Medicago truncatula: one gene and its partners. Each later gene encodes a partner of the first gene's protein in a complex. Links are inferred from orthologs where the notes say so. Each region holds a gene or a part of one and is shown on either strand. Other genes may lie near its edges. The genes, in order: photosynthetic NDH subunit of lumenal location 4, chloroplastic; photosynthetic NDH subunit of lumenal location 5, chloroplastic; photosynthetic NDH subunit of subcomplex B 4, chloroplastic; photosynthetic NDH subunit of lumenal location 2, chloroplastic.

Region 1 (6,860 bases):
ATCTAGGAAAGTTTTTTAGATCAACATAGATTTATGGCTTAATTATATAAATGGTCTTTTAAATAATTATGAAATTTTAATTTGGTCCTCTTATTAATTTTCACCCCAATTTAATCCTTTAAATTACCTCCGTCTATCAATTGAATCCATTCTGATAAATCTTGTGGAAAAAACGTTAACATTCATCGTGTTCATCATCAAACCCAACAACATTCATCATCTTCATCAATAAACCCAGCAACATTCATCACCTTCATCATCAAAACTCAAAAAAAAAAAATTTAACTATGCAAATCCTGAAGAACGAATTCCAAAACAAATTCATGAACGTTTTTGGTACAAATCAAGACTAATTCATCAAAATCAAAACGAACTCCAATCAATCGCGTTCTTCTTCTTCGTTCTTCAAAAATTGAGATCTGGGTTACAATGAACAAGTGAATTTGCCTAAAAAGTGTTACCACTGGTCAAGCAATCCTATTTAAGTAACTTCAGAGAGAAAAATTATATTGTATCTCATTATTAAAGTACATAGCTCATTATTCAAGTTCGGTATTTAGCCAACTTGAATTAATCAGTTAGAAGGATTCCTTCCTCCCATTAAATACCTTTCAAAATGTACTGATCATTAACCTTTGCATAATCAAACGAATATTTAGAAGGATTCATTGCACATTTATTTCACTTCAGTAAATAAATTCAAATGGACTCGTTCAATTTGACTTGTTACTAAATCATTTAACCCAAAAATTATCTCTGGACCCTAAATATCACTCTAGCAACTTGGAAGACAACAAGAACGTGCTAAGCAGAAAATATGAATTGATAAACAAGATAATGTCAAGAAAATCTGTAAAGACTAAATCCACAAATTGTTTTATTGAAGAACTATTTAAGCAACATAGTGTAGTTGGATAATAGTGTGAATTAACTACAAATTCAAAGTTTCACTTCATGAGACAAAGAAGTGCAGCACAAACTAAAAAGAACTAAGGAACCGTGTGAATTAGCTACATTAGATGGACAACAGTGTAAACTTATTAACTACAAATTTCATAGAGATTCACTTCAGCAGAGAAAGAACTAAACCGCAATCTTCATCATCATCATCGAAGCATCGCACTCACAGGCCATGGTGATCTTCAATCTCAACCATTGGCTTGACCTGAGGCATGGGAGACACACCTGCTGCAGTAGTGACATCAGCAGCACAACCACCACGTCCATCAGGAGCAGAGCAGGTTTCTTCCGTGGCCTGACCAGCAGAATCTGATACAGTAGCAGCTCTGGCTCCGACACCCGCTCCTTCCGATGCTCCTTCACCTCCTAAGATAGTATCATAAGCAGCCGCAATAGGATTGATATGCGGAAAAGGCAAATACACGCTGTGCACAACAATCTTCACATTGCGGATGACGTCAGCAACCTTAACTCTCACATAGTTAATCCTCATCGGCGCTGATGTCACTCCTCCGCCGGAAGTAGTGATCAGAAGCGGCTGACCTCGCTCCAATGTAGGCAGAGCAGTTCCAACCGGAAGCTTCTCAAGATCGGCGATTGACAAGTAATGATTCGGTATGATATGGAATCGCACATTGCTGATATACGATTGAGAACCGGAGAATATAGAAAGATCATCAACAGCGAAAATAGTCATGTTGTTGAGAGTTATGAGCTCTGCGTATTTTACCTTCATAGCAAGGGAGAGGATGCTGAAACCGTTATTACGGAGCCTTACCATTGCATCTCGTAGCATGAGGCGCATAATAGCAGGGAGCACGGTGGCGCCGGGAGTGTGAACATGAGCACCGGAACGGTGATCAGGATGAAACGGAAAGGAGAGAGAACTCATTCTCTCAACGTCGCAAGAAAACGGAGAAAGCTTAGAGGCGAAACCTTGAAGGCCGTGAACAACAACCATTCCGTTGTTGAATAGATCCGGTTGAGTAATCTCAACGCCTCCGATGAAGACTTTTGGAGCACTGCCGGAAGTGTTGTTCTGATGAATCGACTCGGAAGTGACGGTTACGCAACGGCCGGGACTGAGAGTCTCAATCTTGGTGCCAAAAGCAAGTCGCCGAAGATATTCGATGGTGAATATACCTGGAACTATGTGTTCACGAAGGAGATTCGGAACAGAGCAAGAAAAGCAAGTGCGAAGCGATGCATCAGAGGGAGCGAAAATGGTGAAAGGACCGGTCCAAGCAGGGGAAGTGGTGGTTGCAGCGTCGGAGAGCGACGGAGCGGCGGTTGCAAGCTCGTGAAAACCGAGATGAGACAAGATCGGTGGAAGTAATGCAGTTTGAGAGAAGAACGAATGTTCTTGAAGATCGTGCGGAGGTGGCGGTGGGAATGAAGCTTCGATTCCTTCAGTGGCGGTGACCTCGTCACCGGAAAGCATGGCGGTGAAGAAGATTGCGAAGAAGAGCATAGAGAATCGCATAGAGGAAAAGGTTGAAGAGTTTTCCATGGTGGTTAAGAAGATTCAGAGGTTTCAAGTCTCAAGAGAGTGAATTCGAGTGTGAATTGAATCGAATGAAGATGAATTGCAGGGTGAAGTATTTATATACGCGCGCGCGGGGAAATTAAACGGTTAGAAGAGAGTATTGTAAGCGTGTGAGTTTGTTACGCGGTTGTTATAGATTTAAACGTTTTTGAATCTTAAGAGATGTAAGCATGCGAAAGATATTCATATCTTACTATTTTATTTTTACCTATTAAAATGAAACGAGAAAAATTGAAGCTCTTTTTTTTAAGGAGAAAAATTAAGCTATTTTTTTTATGGAAAAAACTAAGCTCTTATCTACTCTATTTTTTTATTTATATATTAATATCAATATTATCTTAAATGCTTTTTATAAGTGTTTGTGGACCTAAATAAACAATAAACTTTTTATAAGTGTTTAAATGCTGCTGAGTGTCTGAGATTATATTCGAACACATGACTTTAGTTAAGTTAGAAAAGACTCGTATAATCTCATCTAAACATTTTTTAGCATATATTTTTAGTCATATATCAATATGTGTAACTAATTTTTTTAATTTACACACGTGTCTATATTTTTTTCATATATCAATAAGGAGCCTTCTAAAGCCTACAAATACTATAAACAAATTTAACTTAAATGTCTTTTTTAACAATTTCAATAAGTTATATTGCTCTTATTTGACAAGTTATATCTCATTTGAAAATCATTCTCTAATATTATGCGAAGTTGAAAGAGATTGAGTTTGGGTTAAGTAACAATGACATGTTTTTCTTATTATACATTGTAGTTTAGTTTAATTTGGTTGATAAAATAAAATCCGCATGCTAAACTAAACTATATGGTTGAGTCAAAAAATTGTCCAATATTCGAAGCAAATAGAGTTTTTTATGATTTTCAATTTATATTGGTTTTGGAGATAAGGTGGAAAGAGAAAGGTAAAATTATACTTTTAATCCCTTAACTTAATTTCGAATGATAGTTTGATCTTTTATCTTTTTTTTCATTTCAATTTTGTCATTTTAAGTCATTTGCATATGGATTTTCAAGTTTCAAAAATTCATATTTTTATTTTCTTATGACCTCTCAATTTTCAAATATATGGTGTTTTGCATATGAATATTAGATTTGAAGTTTGAAAAATTCATATGCAAAGAACAAAAATGACAAAATTGAAATGAAAAAAATAAATTAAATGCCAAATTGTTATGTTAAATTAAGTTAAGGGACTAAAATGTAATTTTGTCTCTATAAACTTGCAGATTTTTTTTTTGAGTGATGAAACTTCCCAGAAATTTTTTATTTGTGTTTTTGAGCTGATATATATTGATTATTATAGATTAATTTGAGCCACATGGTGTAGAAAGGATGGTATGCCAAATGGAGTTACTCATATCATCAGTCTTTGATATATCCTTAGAGAACTATACACACACACACTAAGATAGAAAATGGCACTCTCATTCTCACTCTGTTCAGGCACAACCGTTCATAACCGTTTTCCTTCTTGTATGAAATTGAATGGTAAAAGTTATAAAGTATCCGATAAAGTGTTATGTTCTGCACGTAACGGTAACGAAAAGAAGCCGTTAGTGGGAATTGGTATTGGAATTGTAGCAGCATGGGTAATGGGGTTAACAGCGTTGGATGCAGATGCAACGAGAATTGAATACTATGCTACTGTGGGAGAACCAATGTGTGAGCTTAATTATGTTAAATCTGGGCTTGGTTACTGTGATTATGTTGAGGGTTTTGGTGATGAAGCTCCTTTAGGAGAGCTTATTGATGTAAGCTGTTTATTACTCTTTTACTCATTTTCTATATGCAAAAATTTAATTAGTTAATTAACGATTGATATTGTTATTATTATACATTGCAGATTCACTATACAGCTAGGTTCGCCGATGGAATAGTATTTGATAGTAGTTATAAACGTGCTAGGCCTTTAACTATGCGTATTGGTGTTGGCAAGGTGGATAAGTTTTTCTTACAGTTAAATTGATTTGGCTATGTATTTTTTATGAGTTTGTAATTATAAGGTTCAATGGGATTTTCAGGTAATAAGGGGATTGGATCAGGGAATTTTAGGGGGTGAAGGAGTACCTCCAATGCGGATAGGTATTAAATTTAATTTGAAGTGTTTAAGTTTCATTGTTCATAGTATATGACACTTTCTAAATTTATTTACTATTTTTACTTAGGTGGGAAACGCAAACTCACGATTCCTCCATTGTTAGCGTATGGTCCTGAACCTGCAGGCTGTTTCTCAGGTCTCATTCATTATTAATTATTACTGTGTTATTATGTAATTTGCTACTAAACATGGATAACTACTTTAATCAAACCTGAAACTCAAAAATCTAGTAGACACGTGGATGAAGAAATGAATCATTAATTGTGTATTTGGTCATATGCATTGCGCGTATGTGCCCCGGTATATTTTCTACCACTGTAAAAAAAGTAGCTACAGTGCTATGGAATTTAAATAAATTGCTATTGGTTCGTGATACGCTGTTTAGAACAAAGTGATGTCAAATAGTAGCTATGAAACTCTGTAACTTAATAGAGTTTGAACAAACTGCTATATTCCACGATCTACACTTGAAAACACTTTTTTCTACTTACACAGCTGAATTTGTTTTTGTGTGCTTGTCTGTGTGTTTTTCTCAATGGAAAGGAGTATAAGACCATGGATTTTATTAGGCTGGGAAGATATTGAATGCAATCTTATTATTATCAGAAGAAGAGAATCATTATCATTAAATATGTTAGATTTTGACAGTTTTGTCGCTGATTCAATAGGTGACTGCAATATACCGGGTAATGCAACTCTTCTGTATGATATTAAATTTGTTGGTCTTTATTCGGGCAATCGAAGTCAATGAAGACAAAATTGATCGAATACGTATACGTATATGAACCGCACGTGGATTAGGTGAGTTTCCTGATCTTTTGAGAATATTTTATTCTTAGATTAGATAGACAAATACTACCCAGCACTCAGATTGTTTTATCCAGCTTACTTTCTGTTTGCTCTCCAGCTAAACATGTTTGTTTACTTTTCACATTATCATAATTGTAAGAAAATGCTTCCAATATTGACCATGATCAGGAAGCTTTTATGCATATCTAGGTATATGCAGAACCTTCATGAGAAAACACAGTATGCAACATTAAAATTAGCTGTCACACATGATCATGGTTAAAGCATATGCTACTTAAAATTTTGACACAGGGTCCTTTGTGACCATTTTTCTTGTGCAATATACAAAATGATGTTTGAACTCAGATGCAAACTAGTTAAATTCATCATTATTAACCTTATCCCAGTGGCTTGACTTATTCATCAAATTTACAACACTATACTGTTTGACGACCGAGTGATATTTAAGATGAATGAGGTTTTGTTTACTCCCTCCGTCCATATATGTAAGCACCTTTTGCCTCTAATAAAAGGGTGCTTACATATAGGGACGGAGGGAGTATAATCTAATCGATCTTTTATAAAGTTGCGTCAGATAATCTACTCAGATAAAAGTAGACTTGCATATTTATAAACTAAAACATTTTTCTATGGAATAATAAAATGCCTTTAAAACTATAATGATATGCTGGTATCCATGCATTCTCTGATCTTGATTATCTAAAAATAGGGATAATCATTATTTTTAATAATTTTTTTGACTGGTTATTTTTAATTGTTTTAGAGTAATGAAATGGACTTTTTTTGCTGGTGAGTGTGGATCGACTTGTTAGGCAGATTCTCCTTCCTGGTTCCAGCTCTCTCAAATTACTATTCCTGTTTAGTGCAGTCCGACATGATTCACCTGAATAGAATACCCCTTTTAAGAGTAAAGAGGATCCAACCCTGGTGCGGTGATATATATTAGACATGTCTGGTAACATGATGCAACTTTTTGTATCTTTATTGTAAATGTAATTTTCAATAGTACACTCTGAATGATGAATTAATTAATTCTTTATATGATAAATGTTATCCCCTATTACTTGTATCTTTAATCCATTTGATCTTTTTCCTCTATGTGCTGTCTGCAATGAAATGCCAAAGATGAATCATGATTTTGGATGGTTAACAAATGAATAGTTAAAATGTACAATTTCTTGGCAGCTATGTTGACTTGATCAACCATTCTTTGGGTTTATCATTAGAAATATGTTCCTAATGATATCCTAAATTGTATGCAAAATTTCTTTAGAGTATTGTTCAACTTGGTAGGCAAAATTCTGGTGAATCCTCTAAACTATACCGCTCAAGAACAATTCTGTTGAATCCTCTAGTCTGCACTGCCCTGAGTTACATGTGCCTTTACACTTTGTTAGGATCTGGGAAAGGAATAGGGAAAACGGGAAAAG
Region 2 (7,909 bases), on another chromosome or scaffold:
ATATGTTTCTAAGATCTATTGTTATGTTTCCTTAAAAAAAACGATCTATTGTTATGTTCTGATATCATTTTCAAAAGCAATGTACAACTTTTTCAAGTCTTTCACGGTGTTTGTTGATAATTCATTGCCTGGACTGAAACATTTTCCATAAATAGCCGCATATTGTAAAGCTAGATATTTTTTAATAAGACTAAAGTTTTAGTGTGGTTAATTGCATAAATAATAATTATTAGTACTAATAAATAAAGAGAAATTTAGGGTGCACAATGGCTCAAATTGTTGAATAACTTAGGTTAAGTAATTGCAACACTCCAAAAAAAAAAAGTAATTGTAACACAACACTCACCTTCAATCTGTTAACATTGTAGGCACTTCTATAGAAGATACTCACATGATGGGGATCCCTTAGGTTAGTTGTATTTAAATTCAACTATGAAGATAATGGAAAGAAAATAAGTTTGAGGTCCGACCATTGTGTTCCATTTAACTTTTTTTTTTTCCAAAACTATATAAGCTCTATTAGTTAACTTTTTCTTTTGAAAGGATTAGTTTAACTTAATTATTATGACAAAAGGAATGATGATTTAATTTTTCCAGAGCATCTTTCATATAAGTAAGTAAGTCACGTTTATTCTTTTTTTGATAGGTCACTTATGCTTATTCTCTTTTCCTATTTTTAATTCTTCAATATTTTTTCCCTATTGCAGACAAAGAAGAAAGTGCCATTGTTGCTACAAAACTCAGGGTGGAGCTAATCTCAAATGAAGCTTAATGTGTATTTTTTCTTTTGTGACATTGTGCATACAAATTGTAAATAACAGTGGCGTGGTAAAGTTTTATCTCAGAACATTTTGCACCACCCGGTTTAGGTGAAAAGTTTTATCTCAGAACTCTACTAAATTATGTCAAGGGTCCTACATCTTTCGAAGACATAAAAACGGTGGATAACGTCAAATACTTTAGTTTCAAAGACACTTGCTTTGCGATGGGACTGTTGGACGATGACAGAGAATTCATTGACGCCATAATAGAGGCAAGTTTGTGGGGTACGGGCACCTACTTGTGAAGACTTTTTGCAGCATTGACGGTTTCTGATCAGCTGTACAGACCAGAGGTTGTTTGGAATAGCACTTCGCCTAATCTAATTGATGACAATTTGCACAAACAAAGACGTGTGCTTGGTGCGCCTGGTAAGTCTGATTGTTAAATCTGTATAGTTTTTTTTAAGGTTAAATTTACTTATTTGTCTGGATAGCTAATCTGAATACATCACTTATTTGTTAATGGCCGGTTAATATAGAGAGCGAAACTTATGCATCAGCATTGTACTACATGCTTAATTCATATTGCAAACCTTTGTGTAGGAAGATTAGATACTAGCCAGCCTGAATTACACTATATTTCATGACTAATATACTCAAAGAAATTTGTAGTTTGTTGGTGTATAGTGGAAAATAACGTTAACTATACATGACTCAATATTAAGAGTATATAATTATATTAGTTTACTTAAGGCAGGGAACTCAAATTTTGTCAATTATATTAGCTTAATTCATATTGTCAATTGAACATGGCATTGTCAAGAGTTACTTCAAGAGAAGGTTTGAAGATTTTAATATCTAATGACGATGGTGAAGACGATTGTGTAACATCTAATGTGGTTTATAGAGAGGTTTTTCGTAATCTTTCTTAATTTATGTCATTTGTATGATTGAACATATTTATAGTCTTTTTATTTGTATGAATGATGTAATACACTATCTTTATTACCGTACTAATGACTTATTGCTATGAAGGCTTATACAAATTTCTATATTATTGTCGGTTTCTACAATCTATATGACCCGTGCGCCGCACGGATCGGCGTTCTAGTAGATGTTAATGGCTATTTTTTCTATACCAAAGGGTCTCAACAATTCCAACAATGGGACCCGGGTGGATGTTCTCTTGTTCGAGGGCAAGGTTTATGTGACTTTAGCAGTTACTTGAAAGTCACTAGTACTACTACTCTTCAACATTATTATCTTGGCTTCAACCTTGAGGACAAGGTTGATTTTAAAGGGGATGGTAATGTAATGAGTCTTAGAGTTAGAAGGGGCATTATGGGAAATAGGAATATGGACCCTTATAAATATGAGAAAAGCCAAGGAAATAAGTATGAAATGATTGATGTAACTTCTTCTCCTTCTCTCTAATTCTCTAGTCCCTCACTTCTATTTTTCTTATTCTTATTACATTCCTTTGTTACCTATTACTCTCTATGAGAGATTCCAATTACTAAGTTGTAATGCTTAATTGAGTGAATCAATGAAATTTCATTTACATTTTTATTCCAATTAAGTAGAATCATTACAGAGATAGCGATAGAGAGATACTTACATTTCCTTTATCAAAGTCTCCTCCTTGAATCATGAAGTCCTTGATGACGCGATGGAAGGTGGAGGACTTGTAGCCAAAGCCCTTCTCACCGGTGGAAAGGGCACGGAAGTTCTCAACAGTTTGTGGGACATCATCACCAAAGAGTCCTATCACAATCCTTCCAACCAGCTTCCCAACTGGATTTCCAATACTAACATCAAAGAATACTTTGTGAGTCACTTTTGACTGTACTATTACTTTCTCCTCTGAACTACTACCACTTTCCACTGCCCTCACTTTCACTTGTCGTCGTACTGCTACTGCTAGTTTCACACCCCCACCTCGGGACCTAACCACCCCGACGGAAATACTTCTTCTAGGGTTAGGGTTCAGAGCAACAACATTTGACTGACCACCCAACCAAGAAAATCAATCATTTAATAAAAATGAATTCAACACCAATTAAATTTAAATTCAAGTAATAAAAAAAATATATATTACCAGTGAGAAAAGTGGCGGTGTTGTAGTAACATTGAATGCAGCAGCAGCAGCCATCGTTTGGTTAAACACCGAAGAAGAAGGAAGGAAGGATATCGCGCATGCGTTAAAATTGGGGAGGATGCGACCAATCTATATCTATTCAACTCAAACCCATGGATGGATTCACCACCATTTTTTGTGGGGGCCACCACATTATAATTAAAACTAAAATAGAATTGGTTTAGATTTCATTTGCTAGAGATTGCATTTAATTTAATTAAAATTTAGACTAAGATGTATCAAATTTGATTTGATTTAATTATTTTATTAGGTTAATAAGGGGGAAAAAATAAACTACAACAAAATTCGATATTTCATTTATACAGTGGCTTAAATATGCAAACCGTCTCTGTAATTTTGCGCATTTTTGCAATTCGTCCATGTATCTTTTTTTGTTTCAAAACTCTCCTTGTAAGCTTTTTTCGTTTTGCAAATGATTCTTCCCGTTAACTCCCGTTACAAAAACGGCGAGGTGGCAGGCGGAGACATACGTGGCTTAGTGTGACTTGACAAAAGGAGGGTTACGTGTCAAAAGAGTTGGTGAGTCATCCTGTCTTTTGATTTCCCCCCTATTTATTGAAAAAAAATGCTCTCATTTTCCATTTCGTCCTTGTGAAATAGGGTTTCAGAGAAGTTAGAGAGTCATGGTGTAAGAACAGAGACGAAGGTGAGTTGACGGTGAATCACGGCAACGAAGTGTAATCAACAGTTAGCGAAGGTTTTTGAAGGTGATCGACGGTAGAAGAAGCGGTTTTTGGCTTGCGATTGAGGTAGAACATTCTAACCTATCCTCTTATTTTTTTCTTCTTCTTATCTTTTGTTTGTTGTTTGAATCAAAAAATCTTTGAATGCTAGTTTATAATGATGTAAAAGAGTAGAATGGATGTCGTTATATGTTGTTTGATGTTGTTTTATACTTGTTTTTGTGTTGTTGTTGCATGTGGTTTTGGTAGAGACGAAGATGAAGGTTTATTAACAAAGTTTATGTTTCTAAAATTTGACAGGGATGAGTGTGTCAATTGTATTTCACCATGGGGGTGAATTTGTTACGGACTATATTTTGTATTACACTGGGGGTCAAGAACACGTAGTAGTAATGGGATTGATAGGGATAGGTGGTGTTACTTCGAAGCGACTGGTATACTAAAAGAGTTAGGTTATGATGATCACCTTAAGTATCATTTATGGTGGTATGTTATTGAAGATGATAAATACAAAAGGATTGTTGATGATAATGACACTGATATTGTTGGTGATTATGTTATTGAGAACAAACGTGTGGCTCATTTATATGTTGAACATTCAGTTATAGGGATGGTAGGTTCACATGTGGGGTAGAGTTCTATGGATGTGGGGCAGAGTTCTATGGACTTGGACATGTCAGGGGGAGTTGGAGGTCAAGAAGGTCATGTAGTTGAATAAGGCACAATGAATGAAGCTGATGGTGTATGTGATGATGAAGAAATGAGTGGTGATGGTTCTGATGACTATATGGGAAGTAGTGAAGATGAAGCTGCTGGAGTAAGATTGGATGATAGTGAAGAGGAAAAAGCTATGGGCATGAATGATGGGTTTTTAGTTGAAGATGATGAGACTCCTCCTATAGTTGGTAATGCAGTGGTAGATAAATTTGAAGTAGATAAAATAGTCACAAGGAAGGGGGGTTTGAATTGTGACCCTTTAAAATTAAACCTGTCACTTAAAAGTTATTCTCAAGTTGAAAACTTGGAATGGTTAAGTTAACAGACAGACTTCAGAACGTTCTGAAGTGTTAGTATAAAAACAATTTAAATAATTAAATGTGTTTGTGTGTGTTGTGTTTACTGTAAGTAAATAGTAAAGAGAAGAGAAGAAGAACACACAGAAATTTATAGTGGTTCCCCCAATGTGGGTTAGTCCACTCCTCACAGTTTTGTGAGATTTTCCATTATGATGCTTGAGATAACTTCTCAAATTCTGCACCTTACAACCTTGTTCACCTGAACAATTACAACAATTGTATTCTCTTAGCCTCAGCAGACTTACACCTTTCTTGCTAAGTTACCCACTTAGACTTTACACCTTTCTGCTCAAACTAACACTTTAGTACCCCTAAAGCTAGATGAGACTTTGTTTACAATTTGTATGGAGTTTGAATGATATAGATCAAACAAGAGATGAATAGAGGGAGATATTTATCTTTAAAAAGATAAGAGAAATATTGATTTACACTTTTGAAGACTTCTTGGAATCTTTGTGATGATCAATGTTTTTGCTAAAGCTTCAAACACTCTTATGTTGTTTTCTTGTATGCTTTGCAAATGTGTGTGTTATGCTGAGGTCTTGATCTCTATTTATAGAGTTCTTGAGCCTTTGTAGCCGTTGGAGAGTGACCAATGGTCTTATGCCACGTGTCCTGGGACCCACCAACTTTCACTTGAAATTCTGGGCAAACTGAAATACTTCAGAATGTTGTTGTGTTCTTGAGAATACTTCAGAATGTTGTTGTGTTCTTGAAAATACTTCAGAATGTTGTTGTGTTCTTGAGAATACTTCAGAATGTTGTTGTGTTCTTCATGAATTTCTGGGTTGTACTTAAAGATTTGCTTTACACGACTTCAGAATGTTGTTAGATCAGATCTTCTTTGAAATATGTCTAGGAGCGCGTGCAGGATCTCATAAAGTGGTGCTGTCACTTTGTAACGCCCTCTTTAATTATTTGATTATTTTTATAGAGTTTAGAGTTTATTTAGATGATTTATGTGATTTAAATGATTATATGATGTGTTGTGATTTATTAAGTGGCTTATTTTATTATTTAATAGAATAAGATTTGAAAATAAAATAAATATTGAGATGAAGGGTTGTTTTGAGAATTTAGAGAGTTTTGTGGGAAAATGAGGAAATAAGATAAAATAGATGGGAAAAGATAAATAGGAGAAAATAGGTTTAGAAAAGTTTTCACGTACAACCAGTTTTGGAGAAAAGGGAGAACAAGAGGAGAGAAGAACCAAGAGAGAGCTGCTGATCGATTTTCTTAAGGTAAGAGTGAGACTAACATTCAATCTTCTTAAGCCTTTAATTCTGATGATTAGATTTAACATGTTGTAGGGTTAGTTTTTGAAAATTGGAAATTAGGGTTAAGAGTGATAATTGAGGATTAGATGATGGAAACTTGTAGAATTGATGTAGAAAGTGTGTACAGACCTCAAATAATTCATAGTGTGATGTTTAGAATCAGTTTTAAGCTTAGAACCATGTGAATTGATGCATTTTCGTGAAAATCTGCATTCTGCCCGAGCTGACATTCATCGCTCGCCCTGGCGAGGGATGATCCTCGCCACACGAGTGATGAACTTCATCGCTCGCCTCGCGAGTGACCCTTAGTTACTCGCCATAGCGAGCAGATCACTCGCCATAGCGAGTTGACCAGTGAGGAAACCTGATTTTGTGATTCAACTCCTTTAGTCGAGCTTTAGATGATTTTGAGTGCCTGAACATGTATAATAATAATTAGGCAAGTCTTTAGATTGAAATTGAACACGGGGAAGTTAAAAATGAGATTTTTGGGTGAAAAATGTCAAGTTCCCGAGAGCACCCAGTTTCAGTTCGCTAAGGCGAGTAGCTTACTCGCCAAGGCGAGTAGCCATTTTCCTGAACTCGCCATAGCGAGTAGAGTGGCTCGCCTCGCGAGCTGCAGAGAGACATAAAACCTTGTATAGGTTTTTGCGATCTTTGTCGCACGAGATGTTATGAGTTGATCCTTGGGGTAGGAATGAAGGTTGATTATAATATTACTGATGTTCAGTGACTCTGATATAATATGATTTGATGTTGTTAGTAATGTGATGTAGTTGTATATGCATTATGTGAATTATATAAGATGTTTAAGTTGATGTTGATTATTATTTGGTATTGTTATATCTTGAGATGTTATGTGCTGCCTATGTTGTTGTTGTATATTAATTAAGCTGCATGATGATGAGATAAAATCGCAAGTGCACGGTCTTACCGAAGTAGTATGAAAAGAGTATCGTTCCGACAGGGAGTAGTTTAATTCAATTAACCTTTGATGATGATTAGAGGAGAAACGAGTTGTAAGTTGGGGGTTTCAAACGATTGAAAGATAATAATATAAAAGGAGCCTTGGGATCATTGGTTCATCTAAATAACAAGTCCTTCACAAACCAAACTATAAGCTTATAACTTTATGTTAGACCTAATTTCTCAAGACAGTTTCTCTTTTGTTCCTCTAGCAACCAAGCCTATTTCGCTGACTTGATTACTCTTAGATTTTGGTTCCTCTAACAACCAAGCCTATTTCGCTGACTTGATCGTTATTAGTTCCCTTGAAGATCGAAACTATGTGTCTCAAAGATTGCAAAGACTATTTCGCTGCCTTTGCAATCCTTGTCTAAATTCACTTGTTCGAATATCAAAGCTCCACTTTCGTTTTATGAATTGATATTTGAGATAATGGATAAACGATTATCAAACCCTTTCGTTTGCACAGTTTGATAATGGTTGATCCATGTTAAAACGGTGAATTTAGATAAGAAATTAGGGTTACATAAGATTAAGGCTTAGAGCTTGGCTTGATCAGGATTATGTCATTTAGACTTATCCAACAATCCCAAGACAAAGAGAAGTCTACTCACTCATGTTCATCGTAGACATGGGGAAGAAGAGAGAAAGCATAAAAGTAAATGACAAGAAAATAAAGGAAAAGAAAAGAACTTTTATTAGAAAGACAATCGTCACTTATTGAATTCCAAGAAAAGATGAATATTTGTGATGGATAGCTACTCTATTTATAGCATACATTCGACTTAAAATCTAAGCAATTACATTACTAGAATGTTCCACAAGAAACTGCGGGCTAAAATAGAGTAGCTTAAAATCTAAGCAAAAGCAGCAAAAGTGACTCTGGAGGGTGGCATGGCCGTGCCAATGCTAGCACGGGCCATGCCAGACTTCTGACTTTGGGGGAGACATATTTTTGTCTCTGAATCTTCGTATTTTCGTACTAAAT
Region 3 (7,534 bases), on another chromosome or scaffold:
TTTAAATGCTCTTGTTAAGTTTTGTTCAAAAAAAAAAATGCTCTTGTTAAGTATTGATACATTCTCCAATATCATAAATGCAAAGTGGAATATATTAAATTATGAGTGATAAAAGTAATATTAATTAGAGTTATATTTAAAAAAAAAGTAATTCATATGTTGTTTGAAAAGTGAAATGGGTCAATATTTTTAGAGTTGTGCTAAGCAGTGCCCTAAGAAAAATGGTTAAAGAATCCATTAGTAGAAGTTTTGTCTTGGAGATGCAAGTTTTTACTTTTATCTTGGTAATAATTACAAAGTTATTTATTTTAGTACTTTAACCAATGCCCCAAGTACACTAGTTAACATTCTCCATTTTTTTCAATTTTCGCGAGACACACATAATGGACGAAACCCACGTAATAGACGAAACACACGAGACAGGTTTTCTTGGCGAGACTTGCGTGCAAGTTATCATCCCTGTCAACATTATCATTATCTGCATGCAATAAATAAATTGAGGGTCTTGTATATAAATACTGCTGAAGCCAATCATAATTGATACTCACCTCTTTCTTTGAACCTTACCGCTCCCATGGATTCAATTATTAACCATAAGAATGAGAATGAGAATAGCAAGCCTCTTCATGTTGCAATGCTCCCTTGGCTAGCTATGGGACACATATACCCTTATTTTGAATTGGCCAAAATTCTTGCTCAAAAGGGTCACACTGTCACCTTAATAACCTCTCCTAAAAACATTGATCAAATTCCCAAAACACCAAAAGCAATTCAGCCATTCATCAATTTGGTAAAATTACCCTTACCCCACATAGAACAACTAGAAGGTGCAGAGAGCACTCAAAATGTTCCATTAAACAAGACTGGTTACCTTAAGTTGGCTTATGACGGTCTCCAAGTCGATGTTACTGAGATACTCAAAACATCAAAGTCTGATTGGGTTTTCTATGATTGTGTAGCTGATTGGTTACCGTCGATAGCCAAAAGCCTGAATATTCCTTGTGCCCATTACAGCATTGTTCCAGCTTGGAACATATGTTTCTTTAATCCACCAAAGGATCAAATCAACATAGACAGGTATAGCCCACCAAAGTGGGTTCCTTTCGAAACAACCATTCATTGAAGGTGAAAAACACAAGAAAGGGGGGTTGAATTGTGTTTTCTTTTTCTCTTAAAAAATACTTCTTCTGATAAAACTTCAGAAGCAGTTTGAGTGCTTCTGATGAAATGATCAGAGTCAGATTGCAGCGGAAAAGAACAGAGCAGAGAAAAGAAAGACAAAGACACAAGCAGTTATCCTGGTTCCTTCCACAACACGGAAGTAGTCCAGTCCCCCTTGCACTTCCAAGGAGATTTCACTATAATCACAAAGATTACAACTGCTCAATACTTTCTAAGTATGAGACTTCACAAAAATGCTCAAGCACACACGCAAGAGTCTTCCAATGCTCAAGCACTAAGCAAGAGACTTCTAATGCTCAAGCACGCAGGCAAGAGACTTCTAATCAAACAAAAATACAGAGGATTGAGTTTGACTTGAACACTTGATATACAATCAGTGGTGTTCACAATACAATACAGTAAAGACTCTAGACTTTGAATTTCTAAGATGTATCAAATCAGTGCAGAAATTCAGTGTGCTTTGTAGAATCAAATTGACAGAGTTTTGGCGCTTTTGAACTTATGTATCTCTATTTTATCTTCAAGTCTTCACTCCTTTATATAGAGGTGTGAAAGAGACGTTGAGATAATCAGCACGTCTAAAGAGTCGTTTGAAATCCTTTGATCATCCACCAGTAATCCTTTGCCTGATTTGGGTGTAGTCCTTTGAAGAATAAGCTTTAAATTCATTCCCATCTTGAACGTACAACTTCTGCAGGCATGGCTGTTGTCTTGTCTTGTAGCGTAGACAGAAAACAGAGTAGTGGAGGTAGTGGTTGTACACTTGTACTTTGTCAACTCTATTAACGAGAGACAAGTGCTCAGTGCTATCCATATATCCGTTGATACCTCCCTTTCAAGTCTTCGTTCTTCTTGGATAAGACTGAATTGAGAATCAGCTACTTTGAATCTTCAGTTTGATTAAAGGATCAAACGTAGCTTCTGGTGAAGATATTGCTTCTGATGAAAACTTTTGCTTCTGATGACGTCATTACTTCAGAAGCACTTCAGCTTCAGGAGCAGTTTTCTTCAGATGCTCAGAATTTCTTTTTCTTTTCATTGTTCTTCCAAGACCTATTGAAATAACTTGAGTAGCCTTTGGTCCTGTACACTTGAACAATTATTAGTAATAACCAATTGACAATTTTTAATACCTTGTTATCATCAAAACTTAATAAGGTTCATTGTGAAACACATTTTGTTCCAACATTCATGTCAAACCTTATGAGATGAAGAGAATAATTTCATCTGTCGACAACAATTCTGGAAAAATATTGGCTCGTTGTAATCTAGACAAAGTATAATCAGATTGTGACATTTTTCTTATCAGAAGCTGTAAAGAACTTGAAGGTGAATGGTTAGATTATATTTCTAGCCAATATAAGGTTCGTGTGGTTCCAGTTGGATTGCTTCCACCATCCATGCAGATAAGAGAAGACGAAAGGAAGAAAACAACCTTGATTGGATGAAAATCAAGGCATGGTTGGATTCAAAAGAATCGTCTTCTGTTGTTTACATTGGATTTGGGAGCGAGACGAAAATAAGTCAACAAGATCTAATTGAGTTAGCTCATGGAATTGAGCTTTCTAGGTTGCCTTTCTTTTGGGCTTTGAAAAATCTTAAAGAGGGTACACTTGAATTACCTAAAGAATTTGAGGAAAGAACAAAAGAACGTGGAATTGTTTGGAAAACATGGGCACCACAACTTAAGATCTTAGCACATGGATCAATCGGTGGATGTATGAGTCACTGTGGTTCAGGTTCAGTCATTGAGAAGCTTCATTTTGGGCATGCTCTTGTGACATTGCCTTATTTAATTGACCAATGTTTGTTCTCAAGAGTACTAGAAGAAAAGAAAGTGGCTATTGAGGTACCAAGGAGTGAGAAAGACGGGTCCTTTACTAGGGACTCAGTAGCCAAAACATTGAGGTTGGTAATAATGGATGAGGAAGGAAGTACGTACAGAAACAATGCCAAAGATATGGGAAAGGTTTTCAGTTCAAAAGATCTTCACAATCAATACATTGAAGATTTTATTGTTGCTCTTCAAAAGTATAGAGTTCATTCCAATGATTAAGCTTATCAGAAATGCCAGCAACACACACTTTCTAACATACTCTTTTTGATTGGTCAAAATTCACACAAGACCCACTAAATTTATATGGGATCCACATGATTTGGTGGAACCCATGTGAATTTTAACCAATCAAAGAGAGTGTGTTAGAAAGTGTGTGTTGTTAGCATTTCTCTTAAGTTTATTTTCATGCGTTTCCCTTCTAGTTGTCTTTTTTATTTATCTTATTGCAATAATAGTCCATGAGATGTTGATGTCAATTCATCTCCAAGAGTTTGACTTTGTAATTTCATGAGATAAAGTTCAAATAGTCTCTTGTTAAATCATCGTTGTTACCACCATTAATAATTAATAAAAAATTATCTTTTCGCCATAATTTTTAAAATTTCAAAAGATAGTTACAAAAAGTTTCATTTTGTTACTTCGAAAACCTTCTTTAAAAGAAATTAGTTGTTTGCTGGCTTCTTGCTTTTTCTATTTCACATCAGAATAGGTTAATTTGAGTTTATAATAAATTTCCGTTGCCGAAGAAAAAGGGTGGTTAATGTGTCTTTATAATAAAGAAATGTCTTGTACAAATTCTCATATACACTTGATATCTACCGTGGATACGGTACTCTACTTATCACTTTATTATTTGGTAAATGTTTTGGTACACTTGTTTAATCCGTTCATCAGTTCTCTCATCTATGAATCCTAGAAGTACATCAGAATACACTCCATCTCGATAGTTCTATAAACGGGAAGTCTTATCTAGTCTACCTTACCAAGGATGAAAGAAGTGTATTTTTTATTTAACTCCGTGAAGTTACTAATGTTTTCCTAATTACCGTAATCGTTATCTTAGTTACTTCCTGATTCGGGTAGGTTTTCACCAATATTAGGTTTGTCACCTTCCTAAGTACCGTTATTTTAGGGTCGATTCACATTCAGAAAAACTAAATGAGGTTGCACCTAGTGTTAGGTTTGTGTTTTGATGATGTTTATTAGGCTAGCTAGATTCTAGTTTCTTTTGATGATGTTTTATTGATCATATTAGTTAATGATTAGAATATGTTAAAGCACCTAGCAATCCTTGCTCCACTGTGTCATATGTGTCTTATATGTTATGTTTCTTGTTGTGTGGTAAAAATTCTTTTTTTTGTGTGGCAAAACCATTTTTCTAAGCCTTTGATTCGATTCAAAATAGTTTGAATCGTATCATTTTTCTCTCTGACCATGACTTCTTAATGATATATTATAAATAGGCAGCATAGGATGAAGGTATCTTGTCTTTCAAACTCACCTATCTCTTGGCGTAAAAAAAAAAAAAAAACTTATATTTAAAGTTGTGAACAAGTTTTGACCCGAAATTGAAAGGATTGTATGTATAAATGAGGACACGTAGGTCATTTTGATTAATCATTTTATAAAATACATGCTCAAATCCAATTTGTTGGAAGCATGCACATACTTGAAGGGTGGTTCTTCATTCTACTCTTATCCACTCTATCCCATATTATATCATAAGGACCATAATTTCAACCCCTTTTCACTTGCACTTTTGGTTCAAAACCATGGCAGAAGCTATCATTGGTTTCACCGTTTTCAATTCATATATTCATAGCTCATGTCTTCAAACAAAACGATTTTCAAGATTGGTAAAGTTGTGTTTATTATTTTCATTCCATTTTATCTCTTTAGATTCACTTGATAGTTCCAAAGCTCTGAAAAATGAAGGTTTATATCTTTCTTTTTTTGCAGCCTAGGCACCCTTCAAATTCTACCCTCTTTCACAGGTCATTGCAGGTACTTAAAATTAAGTTATTGAAGAAATATTAGAAATAGAAAATTATGAAATTTGTCTCTAAATCTTTATTAAGTATTAGAGTAGAAAAATTAGTGATTAATTTCATTTTATCCATCTTTAATTTCCATGGATAACTACCGAGTCTGGATAGCGCAATTGGATTGAATTTTCAAAGGACTAGAAGAAGTTTAAGTGTTGGAGTTCAAACTTTGGACTTTGGAAAAAGAGAAAGTAGTAACAACTACTAACTAATATAGTAATATTTGTCTATAAAAAAAAATTCATTTGAATAAAATACAAGTTTTCTGCAAGATTTTATGGGTGTAGCAAAACTATTTTCAGTTTATATTATAATGGTCCTTTGTATTTGTTTATAAGGTGTTAGATGGAAAGATAAAAAGAGCATCTATGTGCAAAGTGAATGGTTTACCAGATATTCCACTGATGGCAATTCTAGTAGAACAATTGGAAGGACAAAGAGATCTTATAACCGAGAAAACAATTTGGCATCTTAGTGATCAGCAAATAAAGAATGTTTGTAAGTGTTACATAAAATCCGGTTACATTTATAAGCAAAAAAACGACTTTTAAGATTCATTGAATACCTAATGTATATGGTCTATATATAGGTCAGATACATTAAATATTCAATGAATCTAAAAAATTGTATTTTGTTTATAAATGCGACCAGAAGAAGTATATTATTAAGTTTTGTTGTTTCTCTTATGATTTTAAATTTGATGGTTTATTGGTACCTTTTAATCCTTTGTAGACGCTTGGTACATAATGTTCACTGTTTGGGGAGTCTTATTCTTTGGTTCCATGAAGGTAAAACACTTTTCCTTGTATTTATGTGTATAGATATAGATTAATTTGTTAGTGTATGATTGTGAAATGAAATTTTTAACTTGTTTAACATGATTTAGGACCCATATTACGATTCAGAAACATATAGGGGAGATGGAGGAGATGGTACTGGAAACTGGATATATGAGAAGGTAATTATTTCTTTTTCATGACTTTGTTATTGATGTAATACTAGAAGCCTCAAATAGGGGAGCACAAATCAAACCTTGTAGATAGACTAGAGTAAGAGGAGTGTTATGAACGGCCTCATTTAACGGTCTCTCTGACATTTACTCTGTTATCGGATGAAATTCACATGGATACTACCTACACTTTAATAATGAATTTTGTGTAAAGTAGTAAGACATGCATGAATTTCTTTCATTAAAAAAGTGAGTGTTAGAGAAGGTATTAAAAAGAAAGTGTTGTTAGCATTTTTTGTAGAGTAAAGTTAGTAACACATCAGTGGCCCAATAGCATGGCAAAGATGTTAATTCATATTTTAAATTGAGTTGTTAAATAAAACATTTTAATTGATCCATAAAAAAATAACATTTTAATTGAGTAAACAATCATTTTGGTTTATTAACATGTGAGATGATGTCAAAATAGTTTTTAAATCTATCGAAATTACAAACAAATTTTTAAAGGTCATGTTAACAAGTGTCCAAAATGTATATGATAAGGTCAACAACATCGTAACAAGAATTCTAGCTCAATATACAAAAATATCCAAATCGTTTGATCAAACACCGAAACCGCAACTCTCTTACTTAATAATTGTTCCACATCCATGAAAGAAATCTTGCATTTTAAATTGTGTTATTTTTTATGGTTATGCAGCAAGAGGTCATGGAAGCAGAGGCAAGAGAAGCTCTATGGCGCGAGGAGTTGATTGAGGAAATAGAACAAAAAGTTGGAGGGTTGAGAGAAATTGAAGAAGCAGCAAAGAAGGAAGAGGAACTTGTTAAATGATTTTCTACAATAATGCATGCATTTTACTCCATCAATTAACCAAGTGATACCTCATTATTATGTATATACATACACAAGAATAAATTCTTCTGCTTCAAAATTCAAATGTACTGTTATTAAACTACGGTTTATTTCTTTGAATATGATGTCACAATATAGCCTTGTCTATCCATCAGCAGCTAGAAACAAAAAGCAAAAGAAACAAACAAATAGACAAATTTCGTCAAAAAGCACAAGTAGTGAGCACATACAAACTCGTTTAAAAAAGGGTGTAATAAAAAACAATCACAAATATTGTGATTAGAGGATTAGACAGGTTTGATACTGCATAATTGTTGTTATGTCTGATTTGACTCTTTGTTTTATGTTGCTAAAGGAAAGCCTTATGCTTCCTTTCTTTCTAATGTGTAAACAGGTTCAGGCCTTAATCATGGTTTGTAATTTATTTTTATTGCTTTGATAAAAAAAATAAATTCTAAGGTATCTTGAAGTTTAGGCAAAGTTTGTGTAACCTTTTAAGTTATTTTAAAATAAGTTAATATGAAAAAATATAACATGACATTGAATTATCAGATGAGGGAACATACTCTACCAAATTACATGGACACCATGTAAATTTTGTTATGAATTAATTAGATTCCTCCCTAAATTCCTCGAGCTTCCAAGCTTGAATTTGTTATCTAACAAAT
Region 4 (7,098 bases), on another chromosome or scaffold:
AAACAGGCATTAACAACAACAATTCAGATCATTCTAGCAATCATACAAAACCTCTCCAATTTTCCCAACCAATTCTAATCTCCCTCAAATTCTGATCACAGCAACATTATAGATTAAGAAATCATTCTGAACATGAAAACTAAACACATTAAACATGATTCTTACACCATTCCTTTCAAAATCAGCATCAACCCTAATTCCCAATTTTTATTTTCAAGAACAATTCAATTAGATCAATTTTCAGAAATTATATATTATGATTATTGAGAGATAGTCTCACCCTTACCTTAATTCAGAAAATCGCACAACACACGGATGATCTTGGCTCTACTTGTTCTTGGTTCTTCTCTCCCAAAACTTGTTTTACGTATAAAACGTTTTCTGACTTCTCTTTTTCTTAACTCCCAAAACTTAACTCCCCTTTATTTCATTAAACTCCCCTTAATTCTATTAATTCTTAATTAACTCCCCACACTCCAAAATAACTCTATTTCTCATATTATTCTAATTATATTAAAATAAATCATATAATAAAATAATACACACCACCTAAAATCACAAATATTATTTAAAATCACATAAAAGACTCTAAATAATTCCAAATTAAATAAAATAACGACTATGGCGTTACATAGAGTTCTTTTAGCAAAATTTGGAGAGATTGGTTGTATGTTTCCTCTGGATGAGGAAGAGGGATCAGTTTGGTGGAGTAATTTAATTAATATTAGTCAGGGTGGTGGAGCAGGAGTGGGAAGTTTGATAGGTGATAATTCTGTGCGTGAGGCAGGTGACCGAACTTCAATTTTGTTTTGGTGGGATCCTTAGTTGAGAGGATGGGTTTTGAAAGATAGGTTCAACCGCCTTTTTGAGGATTTTGATATAAAATGACAACTGTGTTTGAGATGAGGCATCTAGGATGGGGAGAGACTTTGGAGTGTACATAAAATAAAATACAATCAATAATGATTATAGTTTTTTAATAGCAGCAAATCGTAACACATTGCAAATGATAATCATGTATTTTGGCATCGAGATGTTCCTTTGAAAGTTAACTTCTTTGTGTTGCGTCTTCTTCGCAACCGCCTCCCAACAAAACTACTGCTCGTATCTTGTGTGGGAAATTATGGTAATATGGACGACGCGACTCATATTTTTCTTCGTTATGACTAATTCCGTCATGTTTGGATCACTACTTATGATTGGTTAGGCCTCGTCATAGTAGTTCCACACCATATCTCGAAACACCTGACACAATTTAGTGTTTTGGGTGGATTATCGAAATCCAAATGTAATCTTATTTTGATATTTCTCTATTTGAATTATTTGGAAAGAACGAAATAAAAAAAATATTAAAGAATAAAGACGATACTATTTGCCATCTGCTTAACAAAATTAAGGCATATTCTTATGGATGGCTAAAGGTACATCAACTTGACAAAAAGATCATACTATTCACATCAACTTTACTTTTAGTTACCACATGTGGTATATCAACCCTTTATTATGGTTGTAATTTCCTTACCCTTGCTTTTGGTGTTTGTAACCGTTTTATGATGTAATTTCATTCTTCTCTTTGTTTCTCTCTAACATTCCTTGTATAGAGAAAGTAAAGTTGGTTGATAATAAAATTCCATTTTTGAATTTTTTTTTTAAAAAAAAAAAGAAGAATTTGAGAGAGGAAACATGAATTGACTAACTAATCAATACAATAAATAGATATTTCTTATGTCCCTAAACATAAACACTTGCTTAGCAAAAAAAATGTCTTAAATATAAAAAAAAAAAAATCAAATTAAAAGACATGTATAATGCTTCTTTTCCAAATTTCATAATTAACATCAAGTGTTTTGAAACGTAAAAGTCAAAATTAAATAGTATATACATATTTAATGTATATTTTAGATACATATAATTAGAGTTGTCAAATGGGCCGGCCCGACCCAGCCCGACTCGGGCCCGAGAGGTCCGACTATATAAATGGGTCAGCCCGGCCCGACCCGTTTATGATTGGGCAGTGAATTCTAGAGTCCGGCCCGGCCTGGCCCGTTTATGTTTTATTTTTAAAATTTATTCATTTTTTTTTATGTATTTTCTTATGTATTAGTTACTCACCATTATTTTTTTGCTAAAATATGATTGGATGGACATAAAAATATAAATAATTTTTACATTAACATTGAATAATAATTAAACTCTAGATTATTCTTTCAATTAAATCAAATTAATAATTTATAAACTTTAAAATTTTAAAACTGTAAGCTAAATTCATCCATATTTATTAAGTTTATTTATTTAAATATTTTTTTTGTTAATAAATTTTAAATTAGTTGATAATTTTTTTAAAAAATATGTTGTTTTTTAACAAAAATAAAATGAAATATGGGCTAATGGGCCGGCCCAAAGCCCGATGTGCCAGCCCGGCCTGGCCCAACTTTTGTACGGCCCAAATGGGCTTGGGCTGAAAAAGCCTGAGTGCATTTTTTGTTAGTTTTTTAGGCCCGACCCGACCCAAAAATATGGGCCAATGGGTCGGCCCATGAGCCCGACCCATTTTTGACAGCTCTACATATAATTGACATATCAACTAAGTTACCAAATTTCTTCTTTATAAAAATGAAAATTGCATTTAGAGGCTAAGGTATTTAAAAACGATATTCATGTATTGTGATGGTTAATGATAGTGATTTTTTTTTTTTTTTTTTTAAGTAGATTAATGGCTAGAATTCACATTTTTCAAAGTGAATAAGTAGGGCGTCCGGGGTTCCGCTACTAGAAAACAACAGGATATCTACATCAGTGGTCAAATACCTGATGTGAAATGCAACACGGTGGCATTTTCACATCGGCTGAGAAATTAGCTGAGGGGAGAGATCATTATTGAAGAGTGTTTACATCGGTGGAACTATATACCTGAAGGGAAAAATGAAACACGATGGCAGTTTTGTAATATTGATGAAGTTTATCTTTAATTATAATTGGGTGTTTTCCATCGGTGGTCAAAAACCTGAGGGGAAAACACGTTTACACATACGCTTCACTACAAAGAACTCACATGTGTGAAATCTCTCTCTCTTCCCGTATCACATTTCACATTTTTCTCACTTATACAACCTCTGCATATAACAATGCATGTTTCTGCCAAACTGAACTATGCTCACGAGGACTAATAGTGAAAATTCTATGAACCTGCAAATGGATCAAAGCCACTACCATACATATATAAGAGTTAATTAAGTTTTTGGTCCCTATGAATATCTGCAGTTTTGTTTTTAGTCCCTATAAAAACAAATCACATTTTTCAGTCCATACAAAATTTTCCGTTAGTGTTTTTAATCCTTGTTAAATTAAAATTTGTTTAATTATGCTTAAACTTCTAAATTTTTGAAAGATTTTTTATAGACATGTTCATAACATCGTAAGACACTCATAAAATCGATTAGGTTTTTAACATGTATGAATTAAATATGAATTTTTCTAAAAGCCAAATTTTCAAGATTATATTAATGAAAATTTGGACCAAATAATAAAATTTTGAGTTACTTTTTTGCGGAGGAACTTTGTATAATGTTCTAAATAAGTATGTAAAAAATATGTTAAAAATTTAAAAGTTTAAGCATAATTAAGCAAATTTTAATTTTACAAGGACTAAAAGTATGTGTTGGTCCCTGTTAAATTAAAATTTGTTTAATTATACTTAAACTTTTTTATTTTTAAATGATTTTTAACAGACATGTTAAGAACATTATAATAATATATTTTATAAAAAATTAGAATTTTTTAACATGTAATGAATTAAATATAATTTTTTAAAATGCCAAAAATTAAAGATAAAACTAACAAAAATTTAGACCTAAAAATAAAATTTTGACCTAACTTATTGCAGCGGAACGTTTTATGATGTTTTAAACAAGTATGTAAAAAATTATTAAAAAATTTAAAATTTTAAACATAATTAAACAAATTTTAATTTAACAGGAACTAAAAACATTAATGGAAAACTTTGTAAAGACCAAAAAATATAATTTATTTTTACAGAGATTAAAAAAACTGCAGATGTTTATAAGACTAAAAACTTAATTGATCCAATATTTAATTTACATTTTTTTCACCAAAAAGAAAATGCTTAAATCTTCCAACAATGATTGACTTGGAGTTTTCTCAACTCAAATGGATAATAAAGTTTCCACGTGGCATAATCTCAAGGCATAAGTGTATAAACCGGGCAACACGGTCAGCCAATAAAAACCTGCCCAAAAATTTCCATAGTCCAAATACACCATTCAAAATTCACACCATACCTAAATCCTTCATACACCAAAAATATCCACACACAAAAAATACCATGTCCAGCTTCACTCATGCCACTACACTACTCCATGCTCACATCAAAACCAAACACAAAAACACTTCAAACAACATCAACAACAACGTTAACAACTCTTTATCTTCTAAACAAAATGTAACAAATAGAAGAAATTTAGTTTCAACATTTCTAGCAACATCAATGGTTGGAGTAGTACATGTTACAACAACACCACTAGCACTAGCACAGAATTGGGGCACACGTTCTTTTATGAAAGAACATTTTTTTATGCCAGGATTGTCCCCTGAAGATGCAGTTTTAAGGATAAAACAAACAGCTGAAGGGTTACATAATCTTAGGGAAATGTTGGAAACTTTGTCTTGGAGGTATGTTATGTTTTATATAAGATTGAAACAGAATTATCTTGAACAGGATTTGAGAAATGCTATCACTACTTTGCCTGAAAATCGTCGCAAGGAGTATGTTAAAACTGCTAATGAGTTGGTTGATAATTTGACTGAGGTATGTATGATTAATTTTTAGTGGTGTTTTGTTAATTTGATGAATGAATTGAATAAGTCTATGAATAGATATACAACTTCTGCTATACTGATGTGTGCTTTAAAAGGCTTAATAGCAGTTTTCGCCACCTAACTTTCATGAGTTGCGATTTTGGCCCCCTAAGAAAAAGCCTATATAACTGCCCCTAAGTTTTGCAACCGTAGAAGTTTCTGGTCCCCCAAGGCCAATTTTTGGTAAAAAAAAAAAAATAGCACGTGACACCTCACTTAGGGTGCCACGTCAACGTAGACTGAGTCAAAATTGGTCTTGGGGGTCAAAACTGCCAGAGATGCAAAACTTAGGGAGTGATTTTGTAGTTTTTTTTTCTTAGAGGGCCAAAATTACAACTTTGAAAAAATTAGGGGTTAAAACTACTATTAAACCTTTTTAAAATTATAGTCATAAAATAAGATAATTTAGCCTTTGAAATTGATGAAATTCCAAAATATTTTGAAAATTAAAATTTCATTTCGTCCAAATTAGCTCATCTGATTCAAATTTTCAATTTCATGATTAATTTTAAAAAATTCAACTAATCGACTCAAATTGTCAATTTCATGGATTAATTTGAGTGATGAAACATGAATTTGACATGTTTGTATAAATTAGCTATCCTAAGAAACAAATATATAAATTAGTTTTACATTATCATGCACTATGAACTCTATTTTTCCATGTTGCATAGTTAATTTTAGGTTTAAATGCTATTTTGATCTTTTTATTTTGGCCAAACCATAATTTTGGTCTGTCGTTTTTAATTCCGTGATTTTGGTCCCCATTTCTGAAATTTTGACCAACTTATAATTTAACCATCCAAAATTTAATGATACCATGACACTAAATTGTTTACTCTCAATCCCTTGTACCATCTCAATTGATCTTCTTTTTCCTCTATATATTTGATCACCACTTAATTTAACATCATTTTTTTAAGACTCTCAAGAGATAGGCATTTGTTTTCATGTCAGATCACCATCTAACTTATTATACCTCATTAAGTTGGATGGTCGAAATGATGGGTTGGTCAAATTTTTAAAACGATGGATCAAAATTGTTCTATTAGAAAAAGGGGATGAGGGATGAATAGCTTGCTTGGTTGAACTAAGGTATTAAATGTGTTAAGATGTAAGGGTGAAAGATCTAGGTTTGAATCTTGAGCAAATGAGAAAGTACGAAAATAACAACTAACAAGCTAACATTTGCCATAAAAAAATTGGGGACTAAAATTACGGTTCGATCAAAATGTGATTTAAACTTAATTTTAAAATACAATTACAACAATGAAATGATATCATAAAACAATGGTTTTTAATGGATGCTATCGGTATAAAAGTGGGTTACACTCATGGCTATCATCATTTTAATAAATGGAATATGCATTTAAAGATTAATTTTGTCATGCAAAAATCAACATTGTTATTATATGATAAATGTAATGAACTAATGATTGCTAATGTCTAGCATCTGATTTATGGTTCTTTTTTTCCATCTTCAGATGGATCGTTATGTTCGGACACCAAAGGTATATGAATCATACCTATACTACGAGAAGACATTGAAATCAATAGATGAACTTGTGGCTCAGTTAGCTTAGTGCAAAGTTGAAGCTGCAGGGTATTGGTATTTGGAATTCTAATTGTATAAAACACATCTTGACATTTAATTTTTTTGAATTTTGGATTTTCAATTGAACATATATAAAAGGTTTAGAATGTGCAACTTCAAGTATTTTAAATTGAACATTATTAAAAGTTTTAAATCGAGAATTTTGACGCTAATGACTATTTTACAAACATTGATGGGAAATCTGAATTTTATCCATTGAATTTGAACTTACAAAGTCAAACTTTCAAACCTCTTGTACTATTAAAAGAAATTTAAATTGTGTACACCAACAAAGTATCCAACACAAGCCTAAACAAGTTAGAGAAACACACTTTGGTACAAATGCACACAGACTATAGGGGAATACACACGATCACGATTTTCATAAGACTTTTTTTTTCCATCTTATGAGTTTCTCGTGCGTTCTATGCAGTTCGGAATATAGAATTCAAAAAGCATAAACACCTCATACAGACCTCCAAAAACACGTTGAAACATTTCAGATTCTATAATCTGAATAGAACACGCGATAAACTCATAGACCAAATCATCAGTTTCGAGAGATAGCTGATTGAGATAGGAGGATTATTATTATAAAGAGAGCAACGGCAATATAAGAGCCAATAAGA

Evidence for each region.
Region 2: photosynthetic NDH subunit of lumenal location 4, chloroplastic (region 1) and photosynthetic NDH subunit of lumenal location 5, chloroplastic share a complex: the UniProt entries of both Arabidopsis thaliana proteins name them as parts of the chloroplast NDH complex. The link is inferred for Medicago truncatula from reciprocal best matches to the Arabidopsis thaliana genes PnsL4 and Pnsl5.
Region 3: photosynthetic NDH subunit of lumenal location 4, chloroplastic (region 1) and photosynthetic NDH subunit of subcomplex B 4, chloroplastic share a complex: the UniProt entries of both Arabidopsis thaliana proteins name them as parts of the chloroplast NDH complex. The link is inferred for Medicago truncatula from reciprocal best matches to the Arabidopsis thaliana genes PnsL4 and PnsB4.
Region 4: photosynthetic NDH subunit of lumenal location 4, chloroplastic (region 1) and photosynthetic NDH subunit of lumenal location 2, chloroplastic share a complex: the UniProt entries of both Arabidopsis thaliana proteins name them as parts of the chloroplast NDH complex. The link is inferred for Medicago truncatula from reciprocal best matches to the Arabidopsis thaliana genes PnsL4 and PnsL2.

What each region holds. Positions count from the first base shown.
Region 1 is NC_053049.1:42,222,033-42,228,892, forward strand, and holds photosynthetic NDH subunit of lumenal location 4, chloroplastic, read left to right. Parts: upstream 1-3,845; 5' UTR 3,846-3,937; coding exon 3,938-4,273; intron 4,274-4,365; coding exon 4,366-4,458; intron 4,459-4,543; coding exon 4,544-4,604; intron 4,605-4,687; coding exon 4,688-4,756; intron 4,757-5,163; coding exon of another isoform or gene 5,164-5,171; exon of another isoform or gene 5,172-5,274; intron 5,275-5,288; coding exon 5,289-5,371; 3' UTR 5,372-5,421; intron 5,422-6,193; 3' UTR 6,194-6,506; downstream 6,507-6,860. UniProt on the Arabidopsis thaliana protein: NDH shuttles electrons from NAD(P)H:plastoquinone, via FMN and iron-sulfur (Fe-S) centers, to quinones in the photosynthetic chain and possibly in a chloroplast respiratory chain.
Region 2 is NC_053042.1:56,646,688-56,654,596, forward strand, and holds the start of photosynthetic NDH subunit of lumenal location 5, chloroplastic, read right to left. Parts: upstream 3,025-7,909; 5' UTR 2,914-3,024; coding exon 2,860-2,913; intron 2,767-2,859; coding exon 2,380-2,766; intron 1-2,379. UniProt on the Arabidopsis thaliana protein: NDH shuttles electrons from NAD(P)H:plastoquinone, via FMN and iron-sulfur (Fe-S) centers, to quinones in the photosynthetic chain and possibly in a chloroplast respiratory chain.
Region 3 is NC_053044.1:13,325,578-13,333,111, forward strand, and holds photosynthetic NDH subunit of subcomplex B 4, chloroplastic, read left to right. Parts: upstream 1-4,639; 5' UTR 4,640-4,791; coding exon 4,792-4,875; intron 4,876-4,978; coding exon 4,979-5,023; intron 5,024-5,402; coding exon 5,403-5,562; intron 5,563-5,796; coding exon 5,797-5,852; intron 5,853-5,950; coding exon 5,951-6,022; intron 6,023-6,713; coding exon 6,714-6,845; 3' UTR 6,846-7,015; downstream 7,016-7,534. UniProt on the Arabidopsis thaliana protein: NDH shuttles electrons from NAD(P)H:plastoquinone, via FMN and iron-sulfur (Fe-S) centers, to quinones in the photosynthetic chain and possibly in a chloroplast respiratory chain.
Region 4 is NC_053046.1:18,325,845-18,332,942, reverse strand, and holds photosynthetic NDH subunit of lumenal location 2, chloroplastic, read left to right. Parts: upstream 1-4,243; 5' UTR 4,244-4,342; coding exon 4,343-4,825; intron 4,826-6,359; coding exon 6,360-6,458; 3' UTR 6,459-6,592; downstream 6,593-7,098. Other genes in the region: casparian strip membrane protein 1, read right to left, coding at 7,020-7,098. UniProt on the Arabidopsis thaliana protein: NDH shuttles electrons from NAD(P)H:plastoquinone, via FMN and iron-sulfur (Fe-S) centers, to quinones in the photosynthetic chain and possibly in a chloroplast respiratory chain.